3 linked regions of the Tamandua tetradactyla genome follow. The main gene of each other region encodes a partner of the protein of the gene in region 2 in a complex. Links are inferred from orthologs where the notes say so. Each region holds a gene or a part of one and is shown on either strand. Other genes may lie near its edges.

Region 1 (11,295 bases), on a different chromosome or scaffold from region 2:
TGCAGTAGCTTAGGCTTTGACTTAAAAGTCACATACACCTCATTCTGCCATTTTCTTACATATGTCCTGTGACTAAGCAGGTAATGAAATCTGGTCATGCTCAATAATTAGATCACCCCTAATTACATCATCTGGGGCCACTGAGCTCATTATCCTAAACCCTGCCCATCTTTTCTCTAATAAAACTATCAAAGTTGCTGCAGATTGGGGAGACAGATTTTGGGCTGCTACATCATCTTTTCTCCTCCTACATGCCTAGTAATAAACTCTCCCTCTCTTTGAAACCCTAGTGTCTCAGGAATGAGACACAAGCTATTCATAATTACATGGTCACATTGTAAACGTTATATCTTCATATAGTTGTCTTCAAGAATTAAGGCTACTGGAAACAGCTCAACAGTTTCAGGTATTTCCCTTTAGCCATGCAGATACACCATAAATTGAAATGGAATATCTGTATCATGCATCAGGACAACCTCTCGACTCTGAAATCTCTCAGCCACTGACACTTTATATTTTCTCATTTCTCTCTCCCCCTTTTTGGTCAAGAAGGTATTCTCAATCTCCTGATATCAGGTTCCAGCTCATCCCAGGATTGCTGTCCCACGTTGCCAGGGAGATTTACACCCCTAGAAGACATATCCCACGTGGCGGGGGGGCAGGGAGGCCAGTGAGTTCACCTGCCGAGCTGGCTCACAGAGGCCACATCTGAGCAACAAAAGGGATTATCTGGGGGTGACTGTTAGGCATAATCATAAGTAGGCTTAGCCTCTCCTTTGCAGGAATAAGTTTCACAGGGGCAAACCCCAAGATCAGGGGCTCGGCCTATTGATTTGTTGTCCCCACTGAGAGCCTCAGTCTTTTATTTGTCTCCCCCACTAGAATGTCAATCCCCAATATCAGAAATACCTTTTAGCCCCCTCACTGCTGTTCCCCAAAGCTGGGACCTGAAGGAGTGCCTGGCAGGAAGGGGGCACATAAGACACATCTGCTGAATGAATCTGAGCCTTCTCGCGGTGGGCTGGGCCCCCCACTACTGTGGTCCTGAGTCCAGGTTGCCAGAAATGTTGGAGAAAGTTCTTCCACAGCTCTTGAATCCTTTCCCATGCTCTTCTCTGGGAGCTGAGGGCTCCCCCACCCTGTACTGTAGTGGGTGAGCTGGCAGGCCCTAGGCCCTGGAAACTCCCGGAATGCCGAGGATGCCCAGGACCAGCCAAGCCAAGGTCAACACCCCCGAAATTTAGAAAGGCATCTGCACCAGACAATGTGGCACCATCGGCACCTCTCAGCAGAGCCACTAGCAGGTTTCAGAAACCATGTGCGGACAGGAAAGTGGAGACGGGGGTGAGGGAGGGGGATGGAGATGCAGGAGAGAAGCAGGAGAGACACCGCCCCCACCCTCCAGACCCAAGGACACAAAATTGACCGAGGGTCGAGGGTCGAAGGTTGAGAGCAGACAGCACTTGGCGCGAGAGTTGGTGACAGGATGCAGCTGGTCCTGGGTCGGCGGAAGGACGGAGGGAGGCAGGGACCGAGAGAAGCTGTGCAGAAGCCAGGCAGCTGGGGGTGCTCTGCTTCTTCTTTTTTTTTTTTTTTTTAGCTTTTAAATTGTACAATATAACATATATACAAAGCAAAGAAAGAGAAAAAGCAATAGTTTTGAAAGCACTCTTCAACAGGTAGTTACAGGACAGATCCCAGAGTTTGTCATGGGCTCGCATACCATCCTCTCAGATTTTTTCTTCCAGCGGCTCCAGAACATAGGAGGCTAGAAGGAATAAATGTACATATTTTTAACATCACAATCGACTTTTTTTTCTTTTTTTGTGAAAAATAACATATACCAAAAAAACAAAAAAGCAATAAATTTCAAAGCACAGCACATTTAATTGTAGACTAGATTTCAGAGTTTGGTATGGGTTACAATTCCACAATTTTAGGTATTTACTTCTAGCTGCTCTATGATACTAGAGACTAAAAGAAATACCAGTTTAATGATTCAGCAATCCTATTCATTTGTTAAAACCTACCTTCTCTTTATAACTCCACCATCATCTTTGATCTTTCTATCCCTCTCTTAAGGGGTGTTTGAGCTATGGCCATTCTAACTTTTTTATTTTAGAAGGATCTGTCCATAATATGAGGTAGGGAGATGGAACTATCTGATGTTCTGGAGAGGCTGGGCCTTCTAGGTTTCAGCACTTATCTGGTTCAGGGACCCGTTTGGAGGCTGTAGGTTTCTGGAAAGTTACCCCTAGTGCGTGGAACCTTTACAGAATCTTATACATTGCCCTAGGTGTTCTTTAGGATTGGCTGGAATGGTCCTGGTCAGGGTTTGGCAGGTTATGATAGGTAGCAAGGTCTACCTGAAGCTTGCATAAGAGCAACCTCCAGAGTAGCCTCTTGACTCTATCTGAACTCTCTCAGCCATCGATACTTTTTCAGTTACACTTCTTTTCCCCTTTTTGGTCAGGATGGAATTGTTGATCCCACGGTGCCAGGGAGACTTTCACTTGGGGCTTCTTTTAAAGCCTCAGATGAGCAGACACAGAGGTAGAAGCAGAGAATCCCAACAAGGATAAGGGACAGTTGCAAGTGTTCTGAGGTTGCTGTGGACAGTAGGAAACAGGCATCCATGCATTCATCCATCACTATCACTAATATGGACTTAACATGTCCCACGCTCTGTTCCAGATGCTGGGAAATGGCACTCAGCAAGACAGACAGAAAACTCCCTGTTCTCTAGACTATAAGCCTTATAACAACGTTGAAGTTCTTGTATTTCATCACGGTCCGTAAAGTGGTGTGCTGGTTTGAAAGGATGTATGTACCCTAGAAAAGCCATGTTTTAATCCTAATCCCATTTTGTAAAGGCAGCCGTTTCTTCTAATCCCTATTCAGTACTGTAAATTTGGAACTGTAATCAGATCATCTCCCTGGAGATGTGATTTAATCAAGAGTGGTTGTTAAACTGGATTAGGTTGAGGTATGTCTCCACGCATTTGGGTGGGTCTTCATTAGTTATACTGGAGTCCCCAAAAAAAGGAAGCATTTTGGGGAATGAGAGATTCAGAGGGAGCAGAGCAGAACGACATAGCCATAAGAAGCAGAGTCCACCAACCACCTTTGGAGGTGAAGAAGGAAAACGCCTCCCGGGGAGCTTCATGAAACAGAAAGCCAGGAGAGGAAGCTAGCAGATGATGCCGTGTTCGCCATGTGCCCTTCCAGATGAGAAACTGACTGTGTTCACCATGTGCCCTCTCACTAGAGAGAAACCCTGAACTTCACCGGCCTTCTTGAACCAAGGTATCTTTCCCTGGATGTTTTTGATTGGACATTTCTATAGACTTGTTGTAATTGGGACATTTTCTTGGCCTGAGAACTGTAAACTAGCAACCTATTAAATTCCCCTTTTTAAAAGCCATTCCATTTGTGGTATATTGCAGTCCGGCAGCTAGCAACGTAGAACAGGTGGTGACACAGTCAGCTGTCTTGTGTTTAGGATACGTACATGGAATATGCGTTCAAGGAGCATGATGTACACAGCCTACTCTCATAGGTTTAGAAAATAGTTAAATACATAGACGAATGGAAGGATCAACGGATAGATAGACAGATAAATGGTTGGATAAACGGATGGATGGATGGATGGATATGTAGATAGACAGGCAGACAGACAGATAGACAGACAGAATCAAATGGTAAATGTGGCAAAATGTTAAAACTGGTGGATCTGGGGCGTGGGGAGGCTGGTGGGGAGATACCTTGGGGTGTCTCCAGTGGCTTTGCTACGCAGCAGCAGGAGTCGGAGAGACAAAATGCATGCTAATGAGAGCATCTGATTCCCCAGTTACCGAGAATCCAGGCCAGGTCTGGAGTGCAGCAGGGGTGAGAGTGGGAAGGGAAAGACTGGGTGAATGTACCCCCCAGTCCCACCCAGCCGGATTCCAAATACAATCGAGTGGGCAACCAGAGGCATCAGCCACCACTGGCGAGGGGAAGGGAGCGGGGACTTCCCTGACCCCCACCCTGGACGACTCAGGCCAGCTCATGTGGGAAGCTGGCATGGATGAGTCTGGGCTTGACTGGCCCGTGAGGCTCCTTGGCTGGGCCAGCCCTGCTCTGGAAATCTCCCCGGAGGGTCCCTTTGTCTGTTTTTTTTTTTTTCTCCCCATAGTGAGATTTTATTGGTTGTTCTGAAGATGAGCACAGACATTATGAACAATTTGTACACAATTCTCAATGCACGTACCAAAAATCTAAAAAGCCATGTAGTTGTAATTCTTTTCTAAAATTATTCCAGTGGCTTTCCAGCTTAAAATTTGGAGGCAAGTTTATCCTATGAAGATGAGCAAGTACCACTGTCTTCAAATGGTGATAAGCTGTTACATCACTAAGTCCCACTAATTCACAATTTACTATTATACACACCACACGCACATTTCCAATCTTCCCCAGCATATGATGAAGTTATGAGGCAAACTGGACTACCACGACCAAGGACGTTACAGTGTGCACGCAGTTCTGACAGGGATAGCCAAGACTAGGGAGCAGTTTTAAGAAACAACTCTACTAAAAAACACAGAACAGAAGTTATTTAAAATGTCCAACATGTACTAAATGCATGACAGCGACTCCAAACCTTCATTTAGTATATGTTGTGTTATAGGGTGTAAAAACGGCCACCCCCCACCCTATGGAACCTTAAGTTGACATCCGAGACAGTCAAAGCCTTCCACGTCAATATCCCACTGTTTTCTGGTTGTATCAAAAAAGAAACAACCAGCAAATAATTTCCCCTCTTAAATAAAAGCATTTACACTTAAAAAAATGGGATGAGGCGAGATTCCAATCTCCTCCCTAAAAATGTTTCTGCTAGAGCTACTAACAACTTGCATTTACAAAATAGTTGATAAAAATATTCCTCTGGGTTGTACAAGAAGGGACAAACAGGGACCACTGATAAGGCATGGGATATGATATTAATCAGACTTGGCTTCTTTCTCTCCTGCTGCATCAGAGGTTGGACTCTCCTCATTTTTAGTTTCTCCATTTCCTGCAGGTAAATCTTTAGTTTCTTGGTTAGCCGCTCCAGCTTGTTTGCCCTTTGCTCCCCTTTTCCCTTTAGGTTGCACTTTTTTGTCTGAAGACTTATTTTTCTCCCCGCCGCCTTTCTTGGCTTCGTTTCCACTTTCTTAGGAGCGGGGGTGGGGGTGGGGGTGGAATCAGAAACTGGCGAGGGGCGGGGACAGGTTTTTCCCCGCCCCTCCATTCCGCGTGGCCCCACCCCTCTGCCTCCTGGCTCCCTGGAGTCCAGCTCAGGGCGAGATCTACTGCGGGTGTGCATCCAGGGGAGCAGAGTTCGCACGCTCTGGGGCACAGCCATCGCTGGGTAGGCACTGGGGATGGGACACACAACCACATACACAGATATGCATGGTGTAGTCGGAAATACAGTCACACACAGATTGTTGCCATCGTAGACAAAGACCCACACAGGGTTGCCTGGACACAGTCACAGAATCACTAGGACAGGGACACACACTTAGGCTCAGCAGGCACACAGTGTCGTCTACTGTCAGTGACACACCAATGGCGAGGAAGAATCACATCCATACAAGTCAGAGACACACGAGCGTGCCACAAACACACACCCAGGGTTGGACACGCAACCACACACTGTCACGGGCTTGGTGTGGTTGGGCCTGTTACACCATTGCTGGGACACAGAGTCACACACAACACAATGAATCACACACTGTGTGTCACGACACATGCAGTCACGTGTGTTACAGACTCAGTCACGGACACACACTGGGAATCAGACACACAGTCGCACATAGAGAGACAGATATGGGGTGTCACACGCACAGTCACATGGACCCCGAAAGTGGGACACCATCACTCGCGCACAAGTTAGGCACAAACGGGAAGTCACAAACACAGTCATTGACCCACTCGTGTCCATACACACAATCACACACACATTAAGGCCCAAAAGCAATCAGGGAAGTGTGCTTATCCATATTGCCAGCCTTTAAAGTTGTGGGACATACACACAAACACACACACACACACACACACACACAGAGTCACAGACACCCAGAAGCTGGTCCAATTACAGGCACACCTGCAGCTATCGACGCAACGGATACACAAAGAATCCACACACACACTCACCCAGACACGCTGTCACACACACCTATGCCTAACCTGGCCCGGCTCACACGGGCACAAACGGGGGCCACCCTACCCCCTCACAGCGTGGTGTGTGACTCTGATCGCCCCCGCACCCCTTGGCTCGAGTTTTGAGACGCCGCAAAGAAGCATAACACCGTCCACACTGTATCACCCCGACATCGGACCCCAGGACACACAATCCGTGAACACACGCAGCGGGGCGGGACCCTCAGTCCCCAGAGAAGGTGGTCTAAGAGTCAAGGCAGACTCCGCGTCCTGGCAGTGGGGGTGTGGGGGTGGGGTCTGCTGAGGGTGAGTGCCCCATAATAATAGCAGACACTTATATGGCAGTTCTGCATAAAGGAACGCAACCAAACCTCAAGCAACCCTATGAGGTTCGGTATTATCATTGCCCCATTTCGCAGGCGAGGTCATCGAGGCACAGTCTCCGAGCTAGAATTAGCAGGACCTTCATTCACTGCAACGACCCTCAGCGCCTGGAACTGCACCTGGCACCGAGCGAGCGCTCAACACATGTTTGTTGCAAAGTGAGGGAATCCACATCTCTTCCAGCTTTAATGAGTCATCTTCGCGTCTCAGGTGGGGAGAAACTGGGGCCTCGGGCAGTACCCATAGGTCCCGGGAGTCCAGCCTCGCAGCGTGGAAAAGTTCCCGCGGGTCCTTCTCCAGCCGCGCTCTCCGGTTCCCAGGATGGGGGGCGGGGGTGGTTTGCCTCCTCAGGGGCGTGGCCGGTCAGTTGTGAGGCGGGACCAAGGTAACTTCGCCTTCCTATTGGTGTTTCCCCTGATGTGGGCGGGAAATCGCTAAACTGGCCTTTTTGATTGGCTGTCGCCCCGGTGGCCCGTGACCCGGAAGGCCTTCGGGCCAACATGGCTGCGCCCAGGGGCAAGCCATAGCCGGCCTGGAGGCCGAGGCCGGCAGCGTTAGGAGGTAAGTGGGACCGTGAGGTGCGCGTGAGGGGACGAACGCGAGCTGCTGGGCCCGGGGGCAGCCGGTTCCGTATCCCCAAGAGTGGAGGGAGGGTCCCAGAGGGAACCAGCCTCCAGGGTCAGGGAGCCATGACCTTTTGAGGTGCCAGGAGGAGACGTGCCGGACAAGGACGCCCGTCGCCCCACGCCCCTTATTTCTTAATTTGCAGATGAGACAATTTAGGCTCAGAGAGGTTAAAACACTGGTCCGTGGTCACACCGCAAGTCGGTAGGGAGGCGGGAATTCCAAGCCGCGTCGGCCTTTTTCTTCCCAGGGATCCAGAATCCAGGTAGCCAGCTGCAGAGTTGTACGTACATCCTGCCGCGGGATTCAGAATTATAGAAGTGTAGCGCTTACTCTCATTCCACTGATACTTGTTGGGTAGCTACTATTTACCAAGCACTGCCCTGATTGCTGGAGATACAACAATGAAGAAGACAGATTCTTGGAGGAACCAAGCTTTGTAGAAGTCAGAAATAAGCCTGAAAGGATTTCAGACACTGAAAACTGCTAAAAATGCATTAGTTGGGGGTGATGAGAGCTTTTAGATTTGGGGTCGGGGACGGTCAGTGGAGGCCTCTTATTTGAACAGAGACAGTCCTAGGGAGATCTGGGGAAACAGAGTTTCAAAAAAGAGAGAAAAGCAAATGCAAAAAAAACTCTGAACCTGGAATAAACTCGGCTTTAGAAACAGTGTAGCTGGAGCTGCCCATGATTGAAGTAGAGTTTGGAAGGGGAGGAGTTAGGGGGTTTTATTTTAAGTGTGATATAACATTGGTGACTTTAGGCAGAGAGCACTGAATTTAGTTTACGTTTTAAAACGCTGCCTCTTGTCAGGGTGGCGACGACTGACTGGAGGCAGCCAAGGGCAGAAGTGGGAGACTGGGTAGGTATCCAGGGACGGGTGATGGATGGAGAGAAGTGGATGCATTGGGAATCAGTTGGGAAGGAGTTCTGGTACTAGTTGATGGATTGCTTGGGGGAAGGAGGGACATAGTGAACTTGCAAAATGTTTGTGGCCTGAAAACTTGAAATGGTGGCACCATTAGGTGGGATGGGGAGAAACAAATTTAAGCAAGGATGTCAGTTTGGAGGAAGTCGAGCTTGAGATGGCCAGATTTGTACCAGAGTGGCTCTTAGGTATTGAGGCTGGAGCTCCTGGCTGGTGTTGGAGATACATTTTTGAGAGTACATAGATCAGCATTTTTCAGACTTTAAGGCACATCAGAGACATCTGGGGCCCTTGCTGAAATGCACATTCTAATTCCGCAGGTTAGGATTAGAATTAAGATTTTACATTTCCAACAAGCTCCCAAGTAATGGTGGTACTGCTGGCCTTAGGGACACAGTTTGAATAGGAAAAGTTTAGAATAGTGGTTCTCTATCTTCGCTGCATACCAGAGTCATTGGGGTGCTTTAAAAATGCTGATGCCGGGGCCCCACTCCTAGTTATTCTGAATTTAATTTATCTGGAGTTTAGCCTGAGCATGAAGATTTTTAATTTAATTTACTTTTACTAAAAATTTTTTCCAACACTTTACTGAGATACATTCATATATCATATAATCGATCCAAAGAATACAATTATTGTCTCACAGTATCATCCCATGGTTGTGCATTCCTCACCACACTCAACTTTAGAACATTTTCATTACTCAAAAACAAACAAATGAACAAAAACAAGCAAACAAAACCCATCACGTCCCATACCCCTTATCCTCCCCTATTATTGACTCTTAGCATTGGTGTGGAGCATTTATTACTGTTGATAAAAGAATATTAAAACATTATTAGTAACTATAGTCCGTATTTTGCTGTAGGTGCATTGTTTCCCATATATCACTGTTATTAACTCCTTGCAATAATGACATACATTTGTTCTAGTTCATGAAAGAAGAGTTAATCACAGTCATTGTCCACCACAGGATTCACTGTTAAGCAGCCCCGTTTTTATCTTCTAGATTTCTTTCTAGTGACATAGTCTACTCTAAACCTCTCCCTCTCAACCACAATCACTCATGTAATTCAGTGCTGTTCATTAAACTCACCATATTGTTCTACCATCACCTCTATCCATTTCCTAATTTAAATTCAATCTAGTTAAAAATCCTACACAAATTAAATATCCATTCCCCATTCTAAAAATGCTCATTCTACCTCCTGGTAACCCATGTTCTAGATTTGATCTCTGTGAGTTTACTTGCTATAATTACCTCATATTAGTGAGATCCTAGAATATTTGTCACTTTGTATCTGACTTATTTCGGTCAACATAATGTCCTCAAGGTTCATCTGTGTTGTCCCAGGCTTCAGGACTTCCTTCCTTCTTACAGCCAAATAATACTTTCTTTATCCACTCGTCGGGTGATGGGCACTTGGGTTGTTTCCATCTTTTGGCAATTGTGAGTAATGCCGCTATGAACATCAATGTGCAAATGTCAGTTCACATCCCTCCCTTCAGTGCTTCTGAGTCTATACCTAGTAACAGGACTGCCGGATCATATGGCAGTTCTATACTTAGCTTCCTGAGGAGCCGCAAGCTGCCTTCCAAAGTGGCTGCACCATTCTATGTTCCCACCAGCCTTGAAGAAGTGTTCCTATTTCTCTACATCCTTTCCAACACTTGTAGTTTCCTGTTTTTTGTTTGTTTGTTTTTGATATGGCCATTCCAGTGCGTGTGAAATGATATCTCACTGTGGTTTTGATTTGGGCATTGGGAATTTTTAAATCTCCCTAGATGATTCTAATATAAACAAAGTTTGAGAACCACTAGAGCTGTGTACAGGAAATACAGAGAAGTGAGGAATAAGTTCACTGATGCCACAAGAAAGCCGACAGATGAATCCAGAATATGGGGTTCTGCAGGCTCATTTTTCAAAGCATCATTCCGCATCAGCGTCATGCAGGAGCTTTTACATGTGCAGACTCTCTGGCCCCACCCCAGGCCGGCGGAATCAGAGTCTGCATTTTACCCAAGATACCAGGTGATGCATATGCGCTGTCAAGTTTGTAAGCATTGTAAATTTTCTAGAAGGAAGTGGGAGGGAAGGGGAAACTGCTGAATGACTGAGAAACAGAGGCCTGGGATCTAGGAAGCAAACCAAGCGGATGTCAAAAGAAGAGGCAGGATGGGAGGGAAGAAGAGGGGGGTGTCACCTGTACCAGGAGGTCCTGAAAAATTGAGGAAGATAAAGCCTGAGAAGTAACCAGTGGCTTAGGTAAGATGTAAGACACGGGGTGGGGCTGCGGCACCTTTACAAGACTGGTTTCCGTGGGATGACGAGAGCAGCAGCCAGGTTGGGGACACTGAGGAAGGAGCCTCTTGGGAGAAACTTTGCTGTAAAGGGAGTAGGATATGGAGCAGAGGCTGGAGTGGTACCTGGGGTCCAGATGGGAGAAACTAGAACAGATTTAAATGGCACTAAGAAGGGTCCAAACATTTTCCAACTTATTCTATGAGGTCAGTGTTATCCTGATACCAAAGCCAAATGCAGACATCACAAGAAAGGAAGACTACAGGCCAGTATCTCTAATGACTGTAGATGCAAAAGTCCTTAATTATGTACTCTGACCATGTGGGGTTTATCACAGACGTGCAACGTTAGTTTAACAGGAAAATCAATTAGTGTCATTCACTATATTAATAGAATAAAGGACAAACCACATGACCATCTTAATGCAGAAAGATCACCCTTTCTTGATAAAAACACTCCACAATTCTGAATCAGTGGCAACTGGTGTCAATGAGAGAAATGCAAATGTAAACTAGGGAAGATATAAGGAATACAAAGTAGTTTATTATTCAAAGACTCTCTTGCTATAAAACAAAACAAAAACACACACTCCACAAACTTATAGAAGGAAACTTACCTTGAGAAAGGGCATCTCCTACATAATGGTAAAAGACTGGATGCTTTCCTGCTAAAATCAGGACAGAGACAAGGATGTCTACCCCCACCACATCTATTCAACATTGTACTGGAGGTTTGAGCTGGGGCAGCCAGGCAAAAAAGAAATAAAAGGCACCCAGATTAGAAAGGAAGAAGGAAAACTAACTTATTCAGGCATAACATGGTCTGGCTATAGAAAATATATGAAAATACATGTTCATCCTAAGGCATGCAC
Region 2 (10,524 bases):
TCTCCGTCTCAAACTGGTAAGTGGCCAGTGTTTCTATCTGGCCCAGGATTTCTCCACTGAGCCATCACTAGACATTCCTTGAAATCATCTTGCTGTGTCCTCAGTCCCTCTGGCTTTCTTCACTCCAGCGATCCCTGCAGCTGCCAGCATGGGATGACTATATGGAGTTAGACCCACGGTTGCTGAGAAGGGACATCATGGGTCAAAAACTGCCAGCTCCCAAGAGCCCTGCCTCTCCTCACAGTACCACTCCTCAAGCATCTTCAGAAAGGTCTTTAGAAGAGCGCTCAATCTATCCCCTCCGACCTCTGTACCTCAACTCAACCTCCAAAGCCTTTCCTCTCTGGCCCTGTGACTCCAAGCTTACAGGTGGATTCCTACTTCAAAGTGGCAGCTGACAAAGGAATTCCTGCTTCCAGGCCATCCCTGACCCAGCCCTCAAAGTGATCAAGAAAGAAAATGCAGGATAACTCCCATCACTCTGCAGCCCCTAGAACAAAGTCCAATCTCCATAGCTTAATATACAGAGGATCAATCCATCTCTATCACATTCTCCTTCACAGCCTCATTAGTTCTTCCTGAGGCCATGTGCAATGGGCTGCATTATAGGAAGATATTCTGGTACCCATGAGCATGCCAGATAAGAAAACAGCCTGGAACTAACTGGCCCTTGACTATGACCAAAGGGTATCTGTGACATGATACCCTGAGCTCAGGTACATGTAAGAACTCTCCAATTACAATGTTTGAAAATTGAATGGGATGTCTCATAGGCGCTGGGTTCAACTAGTAATTTTCAGTTTGTTTTTAAAGCATGGAAACTGTTTCTCAAACAACTCTAGCATAGAAAAAAATAATAATATAAAACAGATAAAAGCCAAGCTGCTCCAATTGAGGCTGGAGGTGGGGAGAAAGATCCCAATGGCCCACCCACTCAGTTTCCCACTGGTCTTGGCAGGAGCCCCAGGGGCAGTTCCGGGAAGAGCAAGTGTGGCAAATGCTGGCCTAGATGAGCTTAATGATCTCTTCCTATTCTGAGATTCTAAGCATTGCTGCCACTTTCCTGCTCAAATTCCGATAATACTGTGAGAGCTGAGGTTGGTGATTCTGGATATAAACTGCAGGAAGGGAAGACAGGATGTGTTGTCAGAGTAGATGTGGATATAAGAATAAGAGTTATAAGGATTCCCAGTGTTCAGTCTGAACAAGTAAAATAACAGTTGCCACTGTCTACAACAAGGAAGGTGGTGGAGTAGAGAGACCAGCAACTCAGTTTTGAATGTTAAACTTGAGACAACTATTAGGCATCTCTTATGGGCTGAAAGGTGTCCCCCCAACCCTTCCTTCCCAAAAATATGTTGATGTCCTAGTCCCTAGTCCCTCGGAATGGGACCTTATTTGGAAATAAAGTTGCTACAGATTAAGATAAAGTTATAATCAGAAATTAGAGCAACGATTCTGAATGGGATGAGATGGGGGGGTGGGATGAGGTAACAGAATGTGGAGTTATTGCTTAATGGGTGCAGAGCTTGTTTTGGGTGACAAAAGTGTTCTGGTAATGGGTGGTGCTGATGGTAGCACATGGGGAACTTAATCAAAGCCAGTGAAGTATACACTTCAATGGTTCACATGGGAAATTTTGAGTTGCATATATAATACCACAACAAAAAGGTTTAAAAATGATGAAAGATGAGGTCATAGTAGCGTTGGAAGGCTCCTAAACCAAAAGGACTGGTGATCTCAATAGGGTCTGACACAGGGGAGGTAGCCATGTGAGGATGGAAGCAGAGAGTAAAGTGCTGGAGCTGCAAGCCAAGAAACGTCAAAGACTACTGGCCAACACCAAGAGCTAGAAGAGGCAAGGGAGGAGTCTCCTCTACAGGTTCAGAGGGACCTTGCTTTCAGAACCAAGACAATAAATTGCTGGTGTTTTAAGCCACCAAGCTCGTGACAGGGGCCCTAAGAAACTAAGACAACATCTAAGTGGAGCTGTGGGGCAGAAAAGTAGACATAAAGTCTGGAGTTCAGCTCTGGGGCAGAAAAATAAATATAAAGTCTGAACTGAAGAAATAAACTCATAGCCCGAGCCTTAGAATATACCACTCTAACTGGGTATGTCAGAAAGAATGACGAATGTGTAGAGGTCAAGGAACTGAGAAAGAGACTGGGTAAGACCAGACTGAGGTAAAAAGAAGAACTGGGATAGAATGGTCTTTCAGAAGACAGGTGAAGAAAGTGCTTCAAAGAGGGTGGTGGGATGAACTGTCAGATGCCAATGATAGGGCAAGATTAGGACCGAGAAGAGACCATTAGATTTGATGATGTGCAGGCCACGACCAACTTTCAGGAGAGCAGTTTTAGAAGAGTGTTAATGACAAAAGCCTGAGATGAAGTAGAGAAGGAAACACTGATGATGCAGATGACAAAAGACAGAGTAAGTGAATCAGATCCTTGAAAAGGTGAGAAGGCATGAGGTCTAGTGATGAGGCTGGGCTTTGGGAGTTGAGAGTTCATTCACAGTCATAGGAAGAAAGTAGAAGAAATAGGTATAAATGTGGGGAGGAGAGGGTATATGTGATGATGAAAGTTCTCCTTGACTGCAGGTATTTTCTTAGTGAAGCAGGAAGCAAACTTGACCGCTGAGAGTAAGGATGGGAGAGTCGGCACCAGAGGTTCAAAAACCTGAAGGAAGAAAAGCTTGTGTCCTTTCCTGGCCATGCTGTTTAGAGGCATAGGTCCCAGGAGACAGCACAACACAGCCTCACATTCAGGGTGAAAAAAAAAAGGTTTCCCAAACTTTAAAGACTTAGATCTGCACTCACTGACAGGAAAACCCACTCTCAGTCTGTCTCAGCTTCTACACCTGTACGGCTGGTATAAAAGGGTCAGCCTAACAATCGCAGAGGAATGTTCTAATGAGAAAGGAACTGACTCCTTAAGCCATACAGCAGCAGTCAACTTTTTGCTAAGCCTTGCTCAAAGCACTTCACAAAAGTTTTTTCTTTGGACTGCACAGCACCTTTAGCTGAGGATGAATTATGTTTATACTCCTATCCTGTAGAAGAGCCCACTGAGGCACAGGGACCTAAGTGAGTACCTGAAAGTTACACAAATAAGCACTGACGCCAGCATTAACAATTCTGCTGCCTCTTACCTCTACCCAGTACCTTCCTGCTTAGAAAACAGTTCCAGATACCACTGTGAGGTAGAAGCATGACTAGATGCATTTTAAGGTTGAAGAACTAAGGCCCCCCAAGTCATAGAGCCGAGGTCAATTTCAAGTCTTCAAACAACAAGAGGATGGAAAGTGCTTAATAACCAAACCGCTGCTATTGACTGTGACCGCGGAAGGGATGGCGAGAAGAAGGCACCTTGGAGCCAGGTTCTTCGGCAGCCTGAATGGTAGGTTCCGGAGCCGGGACTCAGCTCTGAAACCTAAGAGCAGTTGGAAGCCCACGAGGAGCGGCAGGGTCTGCGCTGTTTAGAAATCAGAGAAATCTCGCACATTTTGGGGCTAAGACAACCCAGTTGAGCTCTGCTTGGCGATCACCTAGAATAGGGTTTCCCAAATTAACCTGACAGGAATTAGCTGGAATAGCTGTCAAAATCATGGTTTCTCCAGGCCCCTTTCTCTGGAAAGGCTGGAGTGGGACTCGTAACACGCCCCGCCCCCAGGTGATTCCAGTTAGGCAGATTTGGGGACACTGACAAAGCTCGACACCTGTTTTGCTTGCTAGGGCCGAAAGGTGGGAGCCGGGGAGCAAGGGTCAGCTCGGGCCTGGCGTTACCTTCTCGATTTTGCCCAGGAAGAGCTCCTTGGCGAAAGCTCCGCTCGGAGGGCTGGTGCGCAGCGTGCGTCGGCTCGCCGGGAAGGCGGCCAGAGCCCGGCAGGAACGCGCCGCCGAGCGCAAAAATAGCACGCAGACGCTCATGCTGCCTCCAACTCCTTAAGCCGCCGGGTCCGCCGCCGCCACTTTTCAGCATCAGCAGTCTAGTGCACCTGACTCGCGTAGCCCGATGACGCCACTCGACTGCGACGCCCCCCCCCAACATTGCGCTTGCGCTACCTCCCGCGGACTGCCGGCTGGAGGGGGCGGATCCGGGGGCGGGCCCGGGGGACGGGAAGGGGCGGGGCCGGCACCGGCCCGGGCGCCATGTTGGCGGCCTTGACCTCCGGTGGGTGGTGCATGCGAGGTAGGTTATATCTTCCAATGGCAGTCCTCTCCAGGAACAGATTGGTCTTCTTTCTTTAATCTCTCATTGTGCGTGTACCATGACTGTAGCATTTACCACAGTATTGGAAAATATTTTCCGGCTCCATTATATGAACTTGAGAACAGTAGGAAATCTCGTTCATGTCAACATGCTTTAACCCCCTCCTTGAGCGAGTCTCAATAAAAAGTTGAATTAATTGCGTTAAAGACCTGATGACCCAACGTCAGAAAGATAAGAACCCAAAGACTTATTTGGTTAAAAAATATTTGCAAAAAAATTGTACTTTGGGTAGGGTGTTGCCTAATTTGACTTGTGTGGTCAGTTCAGTTGAACACCATAAACTTGAATAAGACAGGAGATCTTGTTGGTTTGTACAGGTTGGTGTAAAGCCTGGATATATCCCCGAGTAATCTGGGCAGAGAATGAAGAAGTGTTTGTGGGGGCTGTGGAGGGCCAGGAGCAATAAATCAGGCCGGAGCAAGGAAAGTCCCCAAAAATCTGGGGCGAAATGTCCCCAAGAGTTAAACAATGACCAATGTTAGGAAACTGAGGGAACAGGATGTGTTTTGGCAACAGTTAATGGCATTTTTCTGCTTCTGTAATTACACTTGCTTGCTAGCACCTGCAAACCACAACATGATTTTAGCCTTTATAAGCTCACCTTGAAAACCTCTGGGAGCTGCTCTCTGAATCATCCTTCTTGAAGGTTTCTGAGGCAGTGGCCAGCAGGTTAATAAAGACTCCCAATTGGCTTGCAGTTTTGAATTGTGTGGTCTGTCTTTCAGTGCGCCCCACAACATTTGGAGGCCCCAGCAAGATTATCCCTAACAGGACATCTGGTGACCACCGGTCCTGGATCGCCCCTGGAACCAAGGTCCAGCATAGGGGAAGGCCTCGGAGAGACGTTCCTCCACCCCAGGCAAGGACCAGGGACCAGGCCGGTTCTACAGGACTCTCCTAAATTATAGAAAATCTGGTGGAGTCATCTGTTTTTGGAAACCTCACCGGTGAGTACAGGTCTGTTATTGGATCCAGTGAGGACCTCTGGAGGGCTGAATGCAGCATTACTTCTGAGGTCCAGTCCTGGAGCAAGACATTGCCCAGGACTATGGGTTAGGAATTAGTTAGGGATAGCTCTTTGCTTATTTTGATTTGTTTTGTCCCTCCTCCCAATTGTTGGTCTCATCGCATTCTGTGTCGTTCTTGTCTTAATTGCCGTGGGTCAGTCAAGTTCATCTGTCTGTACTCCCCTTCAATGTTTTTTTAAAAATTTTCAGGAATTTCAGCCGAAGGCCAGAGACTACAGAGCCCCTGTCAATACCTTTGACTTGGAAAAATTCTGTTCATGGGAGTAGCCAACTTTTGGTACTGGGTGGCCTCCTGAGGGAACCACAGATCTATCTGTGGCTTATAAAGTCCAAAGGGCGATTTTTGGTAATCCAGGCCACACTGACCAAATCCCCTGTATGGTAATTTGGATTGAAATCTTTACAGAAAAACCCAAGTGGTTACAGTCCTGCATGGAGACCCAAAAAGGAAAACCCCCCAAAGCCAAACGGCCCTCTTAATAAAATTCTCTCAGAAAGAAAAAAAACTAATGGGATCCCAGTATTGACAGGACCCTTGGAGGATCTGCTCTCGATGGACCCTCCCCCATACCCAACAGCCCTTCCGCCCCCTCTAAGACCAGAGGGGAGGAAAGGTCAAGAGGTGGCAACCAGCCCCTCTGATAGCCAGGAGGTGACCTTCAGTCCCCCCCATACCAGAAGTGGTTCTGCTTACCACCCTTCTTCTGGTTCACAATCACCGGATTCTTCTGGAGCTCCAATTTTACCCTTGAGGCAGGTTGGCCCTGCCCTGGGGGATGACCGTCCACCTTTCATGGTCTATGTCCCCTTTTCCTCTAGCGATCTGTGTAATTGGAAAAACCAGAATCCCTCTTTCTCTGAAGAGCCGCAAGGGCTCATCTCCCTCTTGGAGACTGTCTTTTTGACGCACCAGCCCACCTGGGATGACTGCCAACAGCTCCCCCAGGCCCTCTTCACCTCCGAAGAATGAGACTGGGTCAGGAGAGAGGCGAGGGAGTTAATTCTTGGACCTGATGGACAACCTACTACTGAATCAACCCGATTAGAGGCTATGTTCCCCTCCACCTGTCCCAGACAGGACCCCAACACTGAGAGAGGTAAGGAGGCTCTTGATCGATATCACTGGACTCTGCTCTGGGGAATACAAGTGGCGGCCAAGAAGCCAACCAACTTATCTCAGGTAAGTGAAACCGTACAAAAGCCTGATGAATCTCCGGCCGCTTTCCTTGATCTCCTCCTTGAGTCATACCACTTGTACACCCCTATAGATCCAGAGGCACCCAAAAATAGGCGAGCTGTAAATATAGCATTTGTCACCCAGTCGACCCCAGATATAAGAAAAAAGTTACAGAAATTAGAAGGATTTGAGGGTAAAGTGCTATCCGAACTGATAGAGAGTGCCCGCAAGACTTTTAATGACAGAGATAACCCCGGAACCACGCAGTCCCAAAAAAAAATAGCCAAAATTTTAATATCCGTGATGGCTGAACAGGAAAAACAAAAAGGTAGGGTACACAGGTAGTTTAGTGGTTAGAATGCCCGCCTTTCATGTGGGAGACCCGAGTTCGATTCCTGGACCACGCACGCACGCACGCGCGCACACACACACACACACACCCCAAAAAAGGAAAAACAAAAAGGTAGACAAGAAACCATTGAAAAAAGAAAGGGAAACCAAGGAAAAGGTTGGGCCTACTAATGTGCCTACTGCAAAGAGAATGGACATCAGAAAAATGAATGCCCTAAAAGAGAAATTAAAGGACTGAAACCAGCCCCTGTTCTAATTGGAGAGGTGAATTGATGGGGACAGCGCTCCTTTCCATTGAGCCCCCGGGAGCCCAAGTTCACCTTAGAAATCTGGGGCAAGCCTATAAAATTTCTTGTGGAAATACTCGGGCGACCTTCTCCATCCTCCAGCAAGCAGAAGGGCCCAGATCTAAGGAAAAAATCCCCATACAGGGAGCAACGGGAAAGACAATGTCTTACCCATGGACGAAGACAAGGATCACTGACCTTGGGGAAGGAACTGTCACCTACTCGTTTCTTGTAATGCCAGAGTGTCCATACCCCCTTTTGGGGAGAGACCTTCTCCAGAAATTACAAGCCACCATCTCTTTCAAAAATGATTCGGCCGAGCTCTCCTTCAATATAAAACCCTCGGCAATCTTCCTCACTTGCCCCTTATTGGATATTCACTTACTGCAGAAGTGGTGCTGTTGGCCCCAGGCCCATATTTGCGGGAATTTAAAGAAAAAATACCAGGCATATGGGCAGAAACTAACCTACCAAGATTAGCCACCCACTGGCCTCCCATTGTTGTCCAGCTGACTAGCACCACCACCCCAATCAGAGTCCGACAGTACCCAATAAGCTTAAAGCCTAAAAAAGGCATTGCAGTCCATATCAAAAGACTCAGAGGCAGGTATTCTAGTCCCCTTCCATTCGGCCTGGAACACCCCCCTTCTCCCAGTCCAAAAAACCCGGGACTGACGATTTCCGGCCAGTGCAAGATTTCCAAGAGGTAAACAAAAAAATTGAAACCATTCACCCCACTGTGCCTAACCCATATACACTCTTGAGCCTGTTACCTCTCAGCCAGCAGGTCTACACTGTTCTGGACTTAAAGGATGCCTTCATTTCACTTCCCCTGGCCGTGGTAAGTCAACCCATCTTTGCTTTTGAATGGACTGACCCAGAGTGGGGGTTCTCTGGACAACTAACCTGGACTCGGTTGCCTCAGGGTTTCAAAAATTCTCCCACCCTGTTCAATGAGGTTTTAAGCCAGGATCTGGCTCGTTTTAGACAAGAGCATCCAGAGATAACTCTCCTACAATATGTGGATGACCTCTTACTGGCAGCTAATAACCTGTCAGACTGCAAAAAGGCAACTGAAAACTTGTTACAGGAACTAGCCCAGTTGGGCTATTGGGTCTCAGCCAAAAAAGCCCAACTCTGCACCAGTTCAGCAACATGCTTAGGGTATGAATTAGAAGGGGGAAAAAGAGCTCTGTCTTCTAAAAGGATTGAAGCTATCCTAAAAATACCCTAACCAAAAATGAAAAGGCAGGTACGGGAATTCTTAGGGGCAGTTGGATATTGCTGGCTCTGGATTCCCGGGTTTGCAGAGATAGCAAAACCCCTATACACTAGCACAGGGGGAAAGGAGGAAGCTCTACCTGGACTGAGGCTGAGCAAAAAGGTTTTAAGATGCTGAAACAGGCACTTGTGAGCGCCCCTGCCTTAACCTTGCCTGACATATCCAAACCTTTTCAACTACATGTCGCTGAAACCTGGGGAATAGCAAAAGAAGTCGTCACCCAAATGCTAGGGCTATGGAGGATACCAGTTGCCTACCTGTCTAAAAGACTAGACTATGTAGTGGCCAGGTGGCCAAGCTTTCTCTGAGCCATTGCCACCACTGCCATTTTAGTAAAAGAAGCATCCAAATTGACTCTGGGACAGGACTTACACGTAGTGGCCCCACATTCAGTAGAAACATTACTAAGGAGCCCACCTGAGAGATGGCTCTCAAATGCCCGGATAACCCAGTATCAGGTATTGCTACTGGATCCCCCAAGAATCTGCTTCCTAAAAATGGTGGCTCTTAACCCCACCACCTTGCTTCCGGATGATGATCCGTCCGAGCCCATCCATGACTGTCGTGAGATTTTGGAACCTCTCACGAACCTGAGGGCTGATCTCACCGACAACCCCTGGCCAAATCCTGATGGAAAATTATATACAGACCGGAGCAGTTGTGTCTCAGAGGGAATCAGGTATGTGGGGACAGCGGTGATAACTGTGGACCAGGTCATCTGGGCTCAGGCCCTAGGACATGGGACTTTGGCCCAGAAAGCTGAACTAATAGCTCTGACCCAGGCTCTAAGATGGGGAAAAGGAAAGGTTGTCAACATCTACATGGACAGCAGATATGCCTTCGCAACTGCGCACGTCCATGGGGCACTATATCAGGAGTGGGGACTTTTAACATCGGGAGGCAAGGGAATAAAAAATATACCAGAAATATTCACCTTGCTAGAGTCTATTTGGTTGCCAAAGAGGGCAGCCATTATACATTGCAAAGGACGTCAGACTGCCAAAACTCAAATCGCCAGAGGAAATGCCCTGGCTGATAAAATGTTAAAAGAGGTTGCCCAAAAACTAGTGGGGATGCTGCAGATACTTTCTGTTTTACTGGGGTGAGTGCTGCCGAGCCCTCCAAAATATACCGGGGAAGAGATTAAATTGGGCAAAACTCTGGGCACTAAAACAGATCCGGATGGTTGGAAAGTTCTCCCGGATGGGAGACTCCTAGTTCCAGAGCACCTGGGGAAAAATTTAGTTACCCAAGTTCACCAATGTACACACCTGGGCAGTATGAAACTAACTGAACTCTTACAAAGGGATTACTACATTTGCTGATTGCAACAACAAGCCTGGCAGGTATCGTCCAGATACCACATCTGTGCCCAGGTAAATTCCGGCCAAGGGAAAGAAATGCCCCAGGGAACTAGGCTGAGGGGACAAGCCCCGGGGAACAGTGGGAAATAGACTTCATGGAAATATTACCTGGTCCATATGGATACAGATACCTGTTAGTCTTCATCTACACCTTCTCTGGATGGACTGAGGCATTCCCTACCAGAACTGAGACAGCACAAATAATAGTAAAAAAACTAGTTTCTGAAATTGTCCCTGATTTGGCCTCCTGACTGCAATGGGGTCTGACAATGGGCTGGTGTTCATCGCCCAAGTTAGCCAATTGTTAGCAAAAATATTAAATAACAAATAGAAATTACATTGTATTTATAGGCCACAGAGTTCAGGGCAAGTTGAAAGAATGAATAGAACAATAAAAGAAACTTTAAATAAACTAAAGCTCGAGACTGGCAAAAACTGGGTGAGTCTCCTTCCATTTGCCCTCCTAGAAACTAGATATACTCCCTATGTTAAGGGAATTACCCCATATGAAATCATGTTTGGGCAACCACCCCCACTAATCCCTAAATTGGGGGAAACAAAAATAGCTAAATTAAATAACCATTCTTTTCTAAAATCATTACAGGCCCTGCAATCTGCCACCCAGCTAACTTGGGAACTGATGAAGGCAGCCCATCCGAACCAACAAATCTTGCCCCTTAAAGATCTATTTCAGGTGCAGCCTGGAGATCTAGTCTGGATAAAAAAGCTTCAGCCAGGGCCACGGTGGCTCAGCAGGCAA
Region 3 (10,679 bases), on a different chromosome or scaffold from region 2:
AGAGGGAAAAAAAAAAGGCAGAGAATATGTTTCCCCAAATCAGGAAGCAGAAAGCCTGTCATTTGGGGATGAGGGCTCCAGGCTGCTCAGGATACTTATCCTCCTAAGAAGTTAACCTTTTAGTGAAGTGTAATTAGCCACTATAGTTTACCATCATTTCCCAGTTGCTCCTTCATTTTTTCAAAGTCCGATCCACCGACCACACCAATTTTGATCTTCTGTCTCAATTTCTGTAGCAGGCCGTCCATTTCTTTGGTGATTTTCTACATTTCAAGAAGGAAAAGACAACAGCCATAAACCACAAAAAATCAGGAGACTAAAACTGCAAGAGGAACACAATCCTCACTTTCATATATGCCAATTCAAATCTAGGTATACAGATGCAGTCAAAGATTTCAGTTGTGATGTGGGACATTAAATTTTAACCAGAATATACTTGGTAAATTTTATTTATTTTGCCAAATTTTAAATACACAATACATTAACAGTTGCTATGTACTGTTCCAGATATTTTTTCTGTGCATTTATATACCTATTTATATGCACATATACTAATAGGTTTTGTTCTTTAAAACATAAATGGAATCATTCCATGTTTTGTGCAATGACTTGCTTTTCACCACTATGCTGTAATCTTTCCATGTCAGCACACAGATCTAGCTTACTCCTTTCTAAGGCTGTACTGTTTCCCATTTATGGATATAAGCTGTTGGTTTTAAAGCAAATATAATGAGATTAAAGAAGTTCAGAAATGATTTATTACAATTAATCAAAACCAAGAAATAAAGCTTAAGAGTAAGATGACCAGATTTTTTTACTCTCATAAAAGAAAAGTTTGATAAACAATGGTCTCAATGATATTTATGATAGTTAAATTCCAAATTTTAAAAGAAACTGTAAACCAAGAAGAAAATATTAGACAAATCACAATGACTTAAAAAACCTTAAGAATTCATTAGTTGTTTTATCAATCTTAATTGTATGCATACATGAAATATCTTAACAAAGTTTTCAAAAAAAAAAATTCAACTTCAGTAAATAAACATCTGGAGTTCAATCAACTTTTTCTTTTTAAATTTTTAACCAGTAAAACATATATATGATTAATTATTAAAATAAAGTTGTACAAAAGGGTGTATAATAGATACAGTCTTTTCTACATTTCAGGTACAGTGGAATCTCACCCACTAGACAAAATCTCGAATAGCACCAGCAGACTCCATTAATCACCGAGGACTGTGAAAATGAGTCCCAGAGTCCCCAGCGGTTTACTCACACCTGACATCAGAATGAGAGATAGTGGAAAGGCTCTTCAATGCAAAATATTAAAAATGAGATACTTAAAAGAAAAAAAGCAATATTCCCATCTTCAAACAGAAGCCTAAAGTTATGTTTATCTTATCCTATCCCTCGTGGACACAAAAGAGCTAAATAGTTTTGTGGTCAGTCATGCTGACATAATCTGCAATGCGATGGGGTACAGAAAGTATCTTTTCTCTCCTAAGTGGCAGCAAACATTTTCTGACAGGAAATAAGCCCCAGCTGCCATGACAAGTGAGCACTTGAATTATATCCTACTGCAGCGGAGATCTACAGTACAAGATAACTGTACAGCAAAATTGTCTCAATATTCCCAAATAACTCATGTCGATAATTATAACAATTGCTTTATAAACCACCCCAGAAAAAATAAATCACCGAGAAAGATTCAGATGCTTGAATTGAAGAGGGATGAAGTTAAAAATTCAACTTCTTAAAAAAACCAATTATAAAAGACTTCTTGTGACAATTAGGACTATGGGCCAGGGGGTTGGGGCTGGCACATGAGGGCACACAGGCCCAATCTGGCCTTCTGCCCGTTTCGGTACATGAGTATTACTGGAACGCAGCCAAGCCACTTCATCTACACATCATCTATGGCTCTTTTCACCATCTGAATGCAGAACTGAATAGTTGTGACAGAGATTAGATGGACTGCAATGCCTCAAATATTTACGCTGCAGCCTTTCACAGAAAATCGTTTGCTGAACTCTGGTCTAGGGAGTTAAGTATTAGGGAACTGGGGATACTGGTCTTGGTCTCATAATGACACTGTAGTTAAGACAGAGGACGTCTGTGTCCCTAAGAGATGCGTGCTGAAGGAGCTGGGGGGAAGTACCCTGATGACTGTGACTTAGGAGGTGGTTGGGCAAGACAAATCACAAAAAATGTAGAGATAAAGTTCATATGACAAAATGCCAACTGTGGTTGAATCTAAATGGTGGGGATAGGGTGTCCCCTTGGCTGTTCTTTCAGTGGTTCTACATCTTTGAAGTCTTTCATAATGAAAAGTCGGACAAACAATTCACACAGGTTTATATCCCGTTCTTTCTGAAGGCTATGGCCCCAGATGGAATGGCATTTTTTAGCAAAGGACTCAGCACATTAAAATTCTACTCAAACAACGAACTGTTTGAGAAAGCCCTGGGGTCCACTCTAATTAGATTTTGCCTGGTTAGTTACTTGTTTCTGCAAGAAAAGATAACCCATTCTTCTGCTTCTGGTTTATACTGGACTTATCCATGTTTGGGAATTCATATATTGAGGAAGGGAAAGATTGTATAATGAATATATTTTTTGCTGAAATATTTTTATTTAGAGCAAACAGGAATAACTATCTTTTAATTAGACTTTTTTTTTTACTGTAAAAACTTATTTTCTGGGGAAGAATTAGCTTTACTCAAAGGTCTGACCTTTGCCCTCAGCTACCTGGAGGCGATTCTGGTCCCCTGGAATGTCCTGCCTGATATGAGTGTCTTTGTTTGCCTGGGGGCTTTGGTCACCAAATAGTTGACCAATTATGATGGGGGTTTTAAGCCATATGAGCAGTTCTGACCTCTGGAGGAACTGGAGAGTTAAGCTGAAGGGGCTGGAGACTAAAGGTCAGCCATGCGGGCAGTATATGATTAAGCCCTGATAGAAACTCTGCAAACCAAGGCTCAGGCAAGCTCCCCTGGTTGGTGATACTCTAAGTGTATTGTCACACACAGTGGTCAGGAGAGGGTGACACAATCCAGGACTTCATGGGGAGTGGAAGACAGAAACTTTACGCTTGAACCCTTCCCAAAATTTGCTCTATGCATCTCTTGCCTGATTCTAATTCGTATTCTTCCCCCAAATAAAACTGTTATTGTAATTTTATCACTTTCCTGAGTTGGGTAAGTCCTTCTACTGAATCACCGAACCTGATGGTGGTCATGGGAACCCCTAAACTTGTAGCCAGCTGGTCTGACATGAAGGTTGTCTTGGGTGCCTGTGAACTTGCGGCTGGTATCTGGAGTGAGGGCAGTCTTGGGGGACTGTTCCCTGTGACTTTGCAGTTTGGCAAACTCACTGCAAGTTCAATGCAGAAAAACAGCCTGTTTCAAATGTTTTAAGGTATGTTGGTTTGAAACCGTTGTGTACCCCAAAAAGTTGTGTTCCTTAATCTTGATTCAATATTGCTGAATGGGATCTTTTTGATGAAGTTGTTTTCATGGAGATGTGACCCACCTAGTTATGGGTGGGCCCTTTTGATTAGGTGGTTTCCATGGAGATGCATCTCCACCCATTCAAGATGGGTCACTTACTGGAGTCCTTTACGTGGGAACCATTTTGGAAAAAGCTTCAAAGCTAACCCAGAGAAGTCTAGAGATACAGAAATAAAATGCCCCCAGGGGAAGTTGTTTAAAGAAGCTGGAAGAGAAAGCTAGCAGGCATCACCATGTGCCTTCCCAGCTGAGAGAAAAAAACCCTGAATGTCATCAGTCCTTTCTTTAGTCAAGGTATCTCTCCCTGGATGCCTTAGTTTGGACGTTTTATAGTGTTAGAACTGTAGATTTGCACTTTAATAAATTCCCCTTATAAGAGCTGTTTCATCTCTGGTTATCATATCCCAGCAGCATTAATAAACTAAATCATAAGGGATTACACTGCAGGTCACCTGGTTTCTTTACTATTTCAAGCTTTAAGCTCAGACATTCTGAATCTTTCTGAGAATCTAAAGCACTTTTCCAAACAGCATCCATAACAACTGGAACAGCTTCCGTAGGAAATGGCAAATGTGGCAAACAGCGATGCCCTAGGGTCCAGGGATTTGTAGCAGGTCTGCTGTGTGAAACTGAGAAGGTCAAAACTGCATGGGATCTCAGGTACCTTATGCGTAAATTGGGAATAACAACTATCCTACTTGGAGTGGAAGAGGGAGGAAAGAAGGTATGAGAGGATCCAATGATATTGTGTAAAAAAAGTTTTGGAAATAAAAACTTAGACCAAGGATCAATCAGCCATGGTCCACTGGCCAAAGAGAGCAGCTGCTTGTTTTTGTAAATGAAGTTTTATTGGAACACTGCCATGCCCATTTGTTTACATGTGGTCTATGGCTGCTTTTTTTTTTTTTTTAACATACCATACACCCACCAACCACCAGCATCTCAACCTAAGTTTATTTTAACATTTACTCCCCCATTATTCATTTTCATTCCATATGTTTTACTCGTCTGTTGATAAGGTGGATAAAAGGAGCATCAGACACAAGGTTTTCACAATCACACAGTCACACTGTGAAAGCTGTATCATTATACAATCATCTTCAAGAAACACAGCTACTGGAACACAGCTCTACATTTTCAGGTAGTTCCCTCCAGCCTCTCCATTACATCTTGACTAACAAGGTGATATCTATTTAATGTGTAAGAATAACCTCTAGCATAACCTCTCGACTCTGTTTGGACTCTCTCAGCCACTGACACTTTATTTTGTCTCATTTCACTCTCCCCGCTTTTGGTCAAGAAGGTTTTCTCAATCCCTCGATGCTGAGTCTCAGCTTATTCTAGGATTTCTGTCCCATGTTGCCAGGAAGGTCCACACCCCTGGGAGTCATGTCCCACGTAGACAGGGGGAGGGTGGTGAGTTTACTTGTTGTGTTGGCTGGAGAGACAGGCCACATCTGAGCAACAAAAGAGGTTCTCTTGGGGGTGATTCTTAGGACTAATTTTAAGTAGGCTTGGCCTATCCTTTGTGGGGTTAAGTTTCACTATGGCTGCTTTTGCATTAGAGTTGAGTAGTTACTATAGAAAAAAGGGTCTGCAAAGATGAAAATTTACTGTCTGGCCCTTTACAAAAAAAGAATTGCTGATCTTTGTCTTAGACCGCTGTGGACCTTTAGCAACCCACAAATGTGTGCTATCACTGAACCTCAGGGCCTTTGGAGAACTTGCCAGACAGACTGAACCTGTGGCTCAGAGGATAAAATGACGTGACTAAGGTCACACACATATAACGTGGAATTCTGGGTACACCACTGCCCACTCAGCTAAAAAACAATGGCAGGAAAGGGAATAGGGTAGAGGGGTTGTACTTGAGGACGGTAAAGCTATTTGGGCCCAGCCTCAAATCTCAATGGCTGATGCTGAGCAATCAATTTGTGCAGGAGATAATAGTGAGCCTCATCACAAATGCCGATTTTAGCTGAAACCTATCCATATCTATGGCAGCAAAATCTGGGAATGAGAAGCAAGAACCTAAAAAGTCCGAGAGAAGTCTCAACAGGTAGCCTCTAACTTCAACTCCTCTGCTGTCCAGATCCACTGCAGGGGTGAGAAAGGAGGGTGGTGGCTCACACTTATTAAAGCCTGCTGCGTGCAAGACACTTTTACAAGCTTATTTTATTTCATCTGATCCTCACGAATAACATAAAAAATACAGAATGTCCTCACTTAAAGCTGCAGACTGAGGTGTAGAGAGGTTAAGTGACTTGCTCAAGGTCACACAGTGGTGAAGCTGAGACTCGCCTAGGACTGCCTGACCCCGAATTCTTTGATTTTAATATTAGGCTACACAACACAGCTCATGGATAACGGGACCTCAGAAGGCACATGGCTGGTAAGGAGCCCTGAGCTGTGGTTCAAATCCACGGCCACCAGCCCGCAGGACTTACGGAGAGATTCTAGAACTGCACTTTTCAATCCAGTGCAAGTTTCCTGCTCTCAGGCGTTTTTTGGTTCCGTCCCATCACTCAGAACACCCTGAGGTCTTGAAGAATTGTACAGGGCTTTCTTCACATCCCTCCAAGACACCAGATTAAGACTCAGCCCCTTGGAGTTGGTAGGAGGTCATTAGCCGACCGGAGGTGGTCCTCAACCGCCCTCGCCGCCCACCCAGGGCGTCGTTAGTCCCGTCTGATCCCAGCAGAGGGCTCCACACCGGCTGCCGCCGGCCCACCGGGCGCCGCCTACCTGCCGCGGGGCCGTCAGAGTCCCGTCCACGTCGAAGAGGCAGAGCACTGGGCCGGGGTCCGCCATGTCTCCGGTCCCGTGACCACCTAAGAGGACTCGTTGGCACCAGGAACTCAACCCGGAACTTCCTGGTCCGGCCCACGTGCCGCAGGGCAAGCCGGGAGGCGGAGAATCTACTCCCACAATGCCTGGGGACTAGCAGCGACTACTTGGCTTTGGACCACAGCGACCAGAATGTAGTGCGCCTCGACGTTGTCGTTGCACGTATGCGCATGCGCCCTTAGAGGTCCGGAGGCAGGCGGGATTCACTTCCGGCAGCCGGCTGCGGGGCCATGGTAAAAACGCGAGTAATGGAATGAGGGAGGAATTGCGTTTTCCGGGGTTAGGGTAGAATTGGGGCGGACGGGCAGGACGCCCGAGTTTCTGACTCGGAGAATCCGCGGGAAGAAACTTCGGCGTGGGTTGCACTTAATTTTCTGGCTTCCTGTGCCCTCCATAGGTCACATGGGCTGATAATAGTGATGGCTAAAACTGACCGAGCGCTCACCTGTTCAAGCGCCGTGTTGAGGACTTTCAAATCATTTTATCTTTCACTTTGCTGTGAATCCCCATTTTTAAAGATGGGCAAATGGGCTCTCAGAGGTGTTGAGTAACTTGTCCAAGGAGATACAGCTAGTGACGGTTGGAGCCAGGTTGGGACCCAGATTGGGACCCAGATCTGGCTTCAAGGCCCGGGGCTCAGAGCTTTTTCCATTTTGTTCCACAAGGTGTAGAACTGCGCGCCTAGGATAATCTTTTCCCCTTCCCCTCTGCTGTTTTCCTCTCCTGAGCTAGGCTAAGGAGTTAGTTAGCAGTTAGTTGGTTAGGCACCCAAGCTAACGCATAAACCTGACAGAGAATTGAAAAGTTATTATCATAAGTATCTCACTGATTTCTTGCTCCAGTATCCTGATAGGACACTGATTGTTTACTGGGGAAGTGTCCACACAGCCTTGTGGATCCAGTGCTCAGCATAATGCCAGGCCCACAGTTGACCCTTATTAGTTATTTGTGGAATGAATGAAGGCTGGTCCCCCTTTTCTTACCTTTTTGGAACTGCCTGGAGGTAAGAGGAACGTTTTGAATGTCAGACCTGGCCTCCCTCACTAGCTGTCCATTTTGGGGCAAATTTTTTTTATCCTTTGTGGGTTTGGTTTCCTCAGTGGTAAAGTGGAAGTAGTGCTCTCTACTGCACATAGCTGGTGCAAAGGGCACTTGAGGTAGAGCATCTGGTTTTACCTTTCTCTTCATCTCTGGTGTCACTGATGACCTCAGGATGAGGGGGGAGTCTCTGTGTGAGAAGCCTTGCAGATTACTATGATGGAGTTCTGTAAGAGAAATGTTCTCCTTTCTCCCTTGCAGGCTGCCCTTCTCCGAGCTATACCCCGGTTGCGGGGACCAGCTGCGTGGGGAAGGCCTCTCTATGGGCTGTGGTGCTGCACTGAGCAGGATCCCAGGAGGTGCGTGGGGACCAGGTCACCCACCTCAGAGGAGAAACCACCAGACCCAGAGAAAGAGAAATTCCGTATGGTCTACCGGTTTGATGCCATCAGAGCCTTCGGGTATTTGTCTCGACTGAAGGTGGCACAGACAGCTCTGACAGTAGTGGCCCTGCCCCCAGGCTTCTACTGGTACTCCCAGGGCCTCATGACTCTCGACTCTTTGTGCCTTGTGGCTGGGATAGCTGGCTTTGCCCTGGCCATGTTGTGCTGGATGAGCTATTTCTTCCGAAGACTGGTGGGAATCCTGTATGTCAGTGAGTCGGGCACCATGCTGCGTGTAGCACACCTGAACTTCTGGGGGTGGCGGCAAGATACATACTGCCCTGTGGCTGATGTGATCCCCCTGACGGAAACCAGGGACCGGCCTCAGGATGCGTTCATGCGAATTCAGCAGTACAGTGGGAAACAGACCTTCTATCTCACCCTGCGCTATGGACGCATCCTGGACGAAGAGCGGTTCACACAGGTGTTTGGGGTCCTGGACACACTCAAGTGAATCCCTAGCTCTGGTCACCTAGATCTCTGAAGGGAAGACTGAGCGTACAGGGCAAGGCTGAAGAAGAGGATTGGACAGTTGGAGTCTTTGCCAGGACCCCTGGGAACTTGTCTTTTGGGAAGAGGAAATTCATGAGGCAGAAGCTAGTAATCAGGTTTAGAAAAAAGATCCTTAGTGCAGATTCTTAACTGCAATTTGTGTATATGACATTAAGTCAAATAATGACAGTTCATGGAGGAGGCTACGTCAGGTTCACCTGCATGGTACACAGTTGGGAAATTAGAAAACAGAGATGTGGCTGGGGGAGCCCAGGATTTGGAGTCTGAAGACTCCCAAGTTTTTCATTTCTCAGCTTTCTGTTGAGGGTAGGTTCTTGAATGTCTTTGAACATTGGTTTTCACATCCACAAAGTGGAGAGTCCTGCCTGTCTCCTGGGATGGGTATAAGGATAAACAGTAAATATCCGAATGCTTTGAAAACTCAGTGACCCTGAGCAAATACTAAGCTTTACGTCACAGTCCCAGACACTGCTCTGTTCTGAGGGTACCAGAGGTTCATAAAAGCCTTGGAGGTGTTTGTCGTTGAGTGTCTTGTGGCAGGACAGACATTAGACAAATAAACCTATGTTGTTACAAGTGGTGGCGAATGCAATGGGAGAGTGGGGTGGTTGGGGTGGGGAGGGGCATGGAAGGGACCTTAAATAGAGCCCTGAGATGGAAGTAAGAGGCAGGCACAGAGTTTGTTTCAGTCCAAGGAAACTGTGAGTATGAGCTGGGGAGAGCTGGGTGCATTTGCTGAGGAACAGAGAAGATGTGGAAGTGGAGCTAGGGAGGGAGGAAGAGCAAGGTCAGGAGACCTGCCTTGTTGGCAGGAGGGAAAGATTTTGAATTTTATCGATATCACAGTAGGAAGCCTTTGAAGGTCAGAGAAAGGAATTAAAACTTTTTTTTTTTAAGAACAAGAAATCACAGCTACTTTTAAAAAAAAATTTATTAATTAAAAAATTAAGAACAAAAACATTAAACATTAACATATAATTCTGTTCTACATATATATTCAGTAATTCTCAATATCATCACATAGTTGCATATTCATCATTTCTTAGAACATTTGCCTCAATTCAGAAAAATAAAAAGACAACAGAAAAAGAAAACAATAACAGAAAAAAAAATTATACATACCATATCCCTTACCCCTCATTTTCATTTATCACTAGCATTTCAAACTAAATTTATTTTAACATTTGTTCCCCCTATTATTTATTTTTATTCCAAATGTTCTACTCGTTTCTTGACAAGGTAGGTAAAAGGAGCATCAGAGACAAGGTTTTCACAATCACACAGTCACATTCACAGCTACTTTTAATGTTTATTCACCTTTACTTAAAGATACACATGAAGGGACTTAGGCTTACTGGTTTGTTTCAGTTGTTAAATTCCCTTTACACTTCAGTTCCTGCCAGTGGGAGAAAGGGCATGGTGGTTGGGGGAGGTATGAGTTTGTCCTTCATGCTTGGAGACACTGCGCACCCACTGCCAGTCTTTGTGCCCCAATAGTTTTCCTAGATAGAGGGGCCTGGAGGGGAGGACGAGTGGCATTTATACATTCTCAGCATACAGTGATTCTCACAAAGTGAGACCAAGAGCATGGCAGTGGGCCTAGAGAGCCCCAAATCCATACAAAAGTGCTTGCTCTTTCTTCAAGGTACATGCCAAACCATTCCATTGACTTAGGTCTTATGATGACCCTATTTTAAAAATATATTCAGGATCAGACCACTACTCACTCCCTGTACCATTACCACCCTGATCTAAGCTGCCTGCATCTTTGGATAGCTGCAGTCCACTGCATCCTTCCTGGCTCTACCAGACCCTGTTCTCATATCAGCAGTGATCCTTCAAGACTGGATACTGCTGTAAAAGCCAGAGTCCTTACAATGGCCTACAAGGCTCAGCATGGTCTAGCCCAGACCTCCCCAGAGCTCTGCTCTGTATGACTCAGGCACACTGACCTTCTCCAAGAAGCAAGGGCACTCCTGCCTCAGGACCTTTGCACTGGCATTCTCTGCTTAGAAGGCTTTTTCACTAGATACCTGCACAGAGGGCTCTTCCTTCAGTTTCTCCCCCTGTATAGTGGGGACATTATTTCTGTTCAAGAAGCTGTAGTGAAGGTTCAATTATGAGGCAGTGTTGGGCATGTGATAGGTGTGTTCCCTTATGATTGTTTTCCTCACCTGCTTCTCAGCCCCTTCTGGGATCAACTGAAGCTTTTCCCCTCAAAGACATACAGTCTATAGCTATGAAATGTCTTAAGAGGTATGAGTGATTTGACCTTGATCTCATTAAAGCCAAAAATTAATTCAAATGCCCTCCCTCAGTGTTAGGCTGG

Evidence for each region. Proteins that work in one complex are often made in the same cells at the same time.
Region 1: the proteins of ACAD9 (region 2) and ECSIT are in contact, whole or in part, in a cryo-EM structure (PDB 8PHE), measured with the Homo sapiens proteins. The link is inferred for Tamandua tetradactyla from reciprocal best matches to the Homo sapiens genes ACAD9 and ECSIT. Residues at the interface, in NP_054768.2 of Homo sapiens: Leu180, Thr181, Asp188, Ala189, Ala190, Ser191, Ile192, Lys228, Lys239, Asp240, Lys241, Ile242, Phe293, Ala296, Met297, Leu300, Ile431, Met434, Tyr435, Leu438, Thr439, Leu441, Gln442, Gly445, Thr449, Leu516, Gly520, Lys521, Ile523, Met524; in NP_057665.2 of Homo sapiens: Pro321, Glu322, Glu323, Trp324, Asn325, Leu326, Tyr327, Tyr328, Pro329, Met330, Leu332, Asp333, Leu334.
Region 3: ACAD9 (region 2) and TMEM186 share a complex: the UniProt entries of both Homo sapiens proteins name them as parts of the mitochondrial complex. The link is inferred for Tamandua tetradactyla from reciprocal best matches to the Homo sapiens genes ACAD9 and TMEM186.

What each region holds. Positions count from the first base shown.
Region 1 is NC_135337.1:90,395,077-90,406,371, forward strand, and holds the start of ECSIT (evolutionarily conserved signaling intermediate in Toll pathway, mitochondrial), read left to right. Parts: upstream 1-7,042; 5' UTR 7,043-7,131; intron 7,132-7,339; exon of another isoform or gene 7,340-7,459; intron 7,460-8,007; exon of another isoform or gene 8,008-8,056; intron 8,057-11,295.
Region 2 is NC_135335.1:32,577,950-32,588,473, forward strand, and holds the start of ACAD9 (complex I assembly factor ACAD9, mitochondrial), read right to left. Parts: upstream 4,036-10,524; 5' UTR 3,933-4,035; coding exon 3,789-3,932; intron 1-3,788. UniProt on the Homo sapiens protein: As part of the MCIA complex, primarily participates in the assembly of the mitochondrial complex I and therefore plays a role in oxidative phosphorylation.
Region 3 is NC_135349.1:48,647,545-48,658,223, forward strand, and holds TMEM186 (transmembrane protein 186), read left to right. Parts: upstream 1-6,547; 5' UTR 6,548-6,586; coding exon 6,587-6,589; intron 6,590-7,655; coding exon 7,656-8,291; 3' UTR 8,292-8,926; downstream 8,927-10,679. Other genes in the region: PMM2 (phosphomannomutase 2), read right to left, coding at 152-263, 6,255-6,320. UniProt on the Homo sapiens protein: As part of the MCIA complex, required for efficient assembly of the mitochondrial complex I.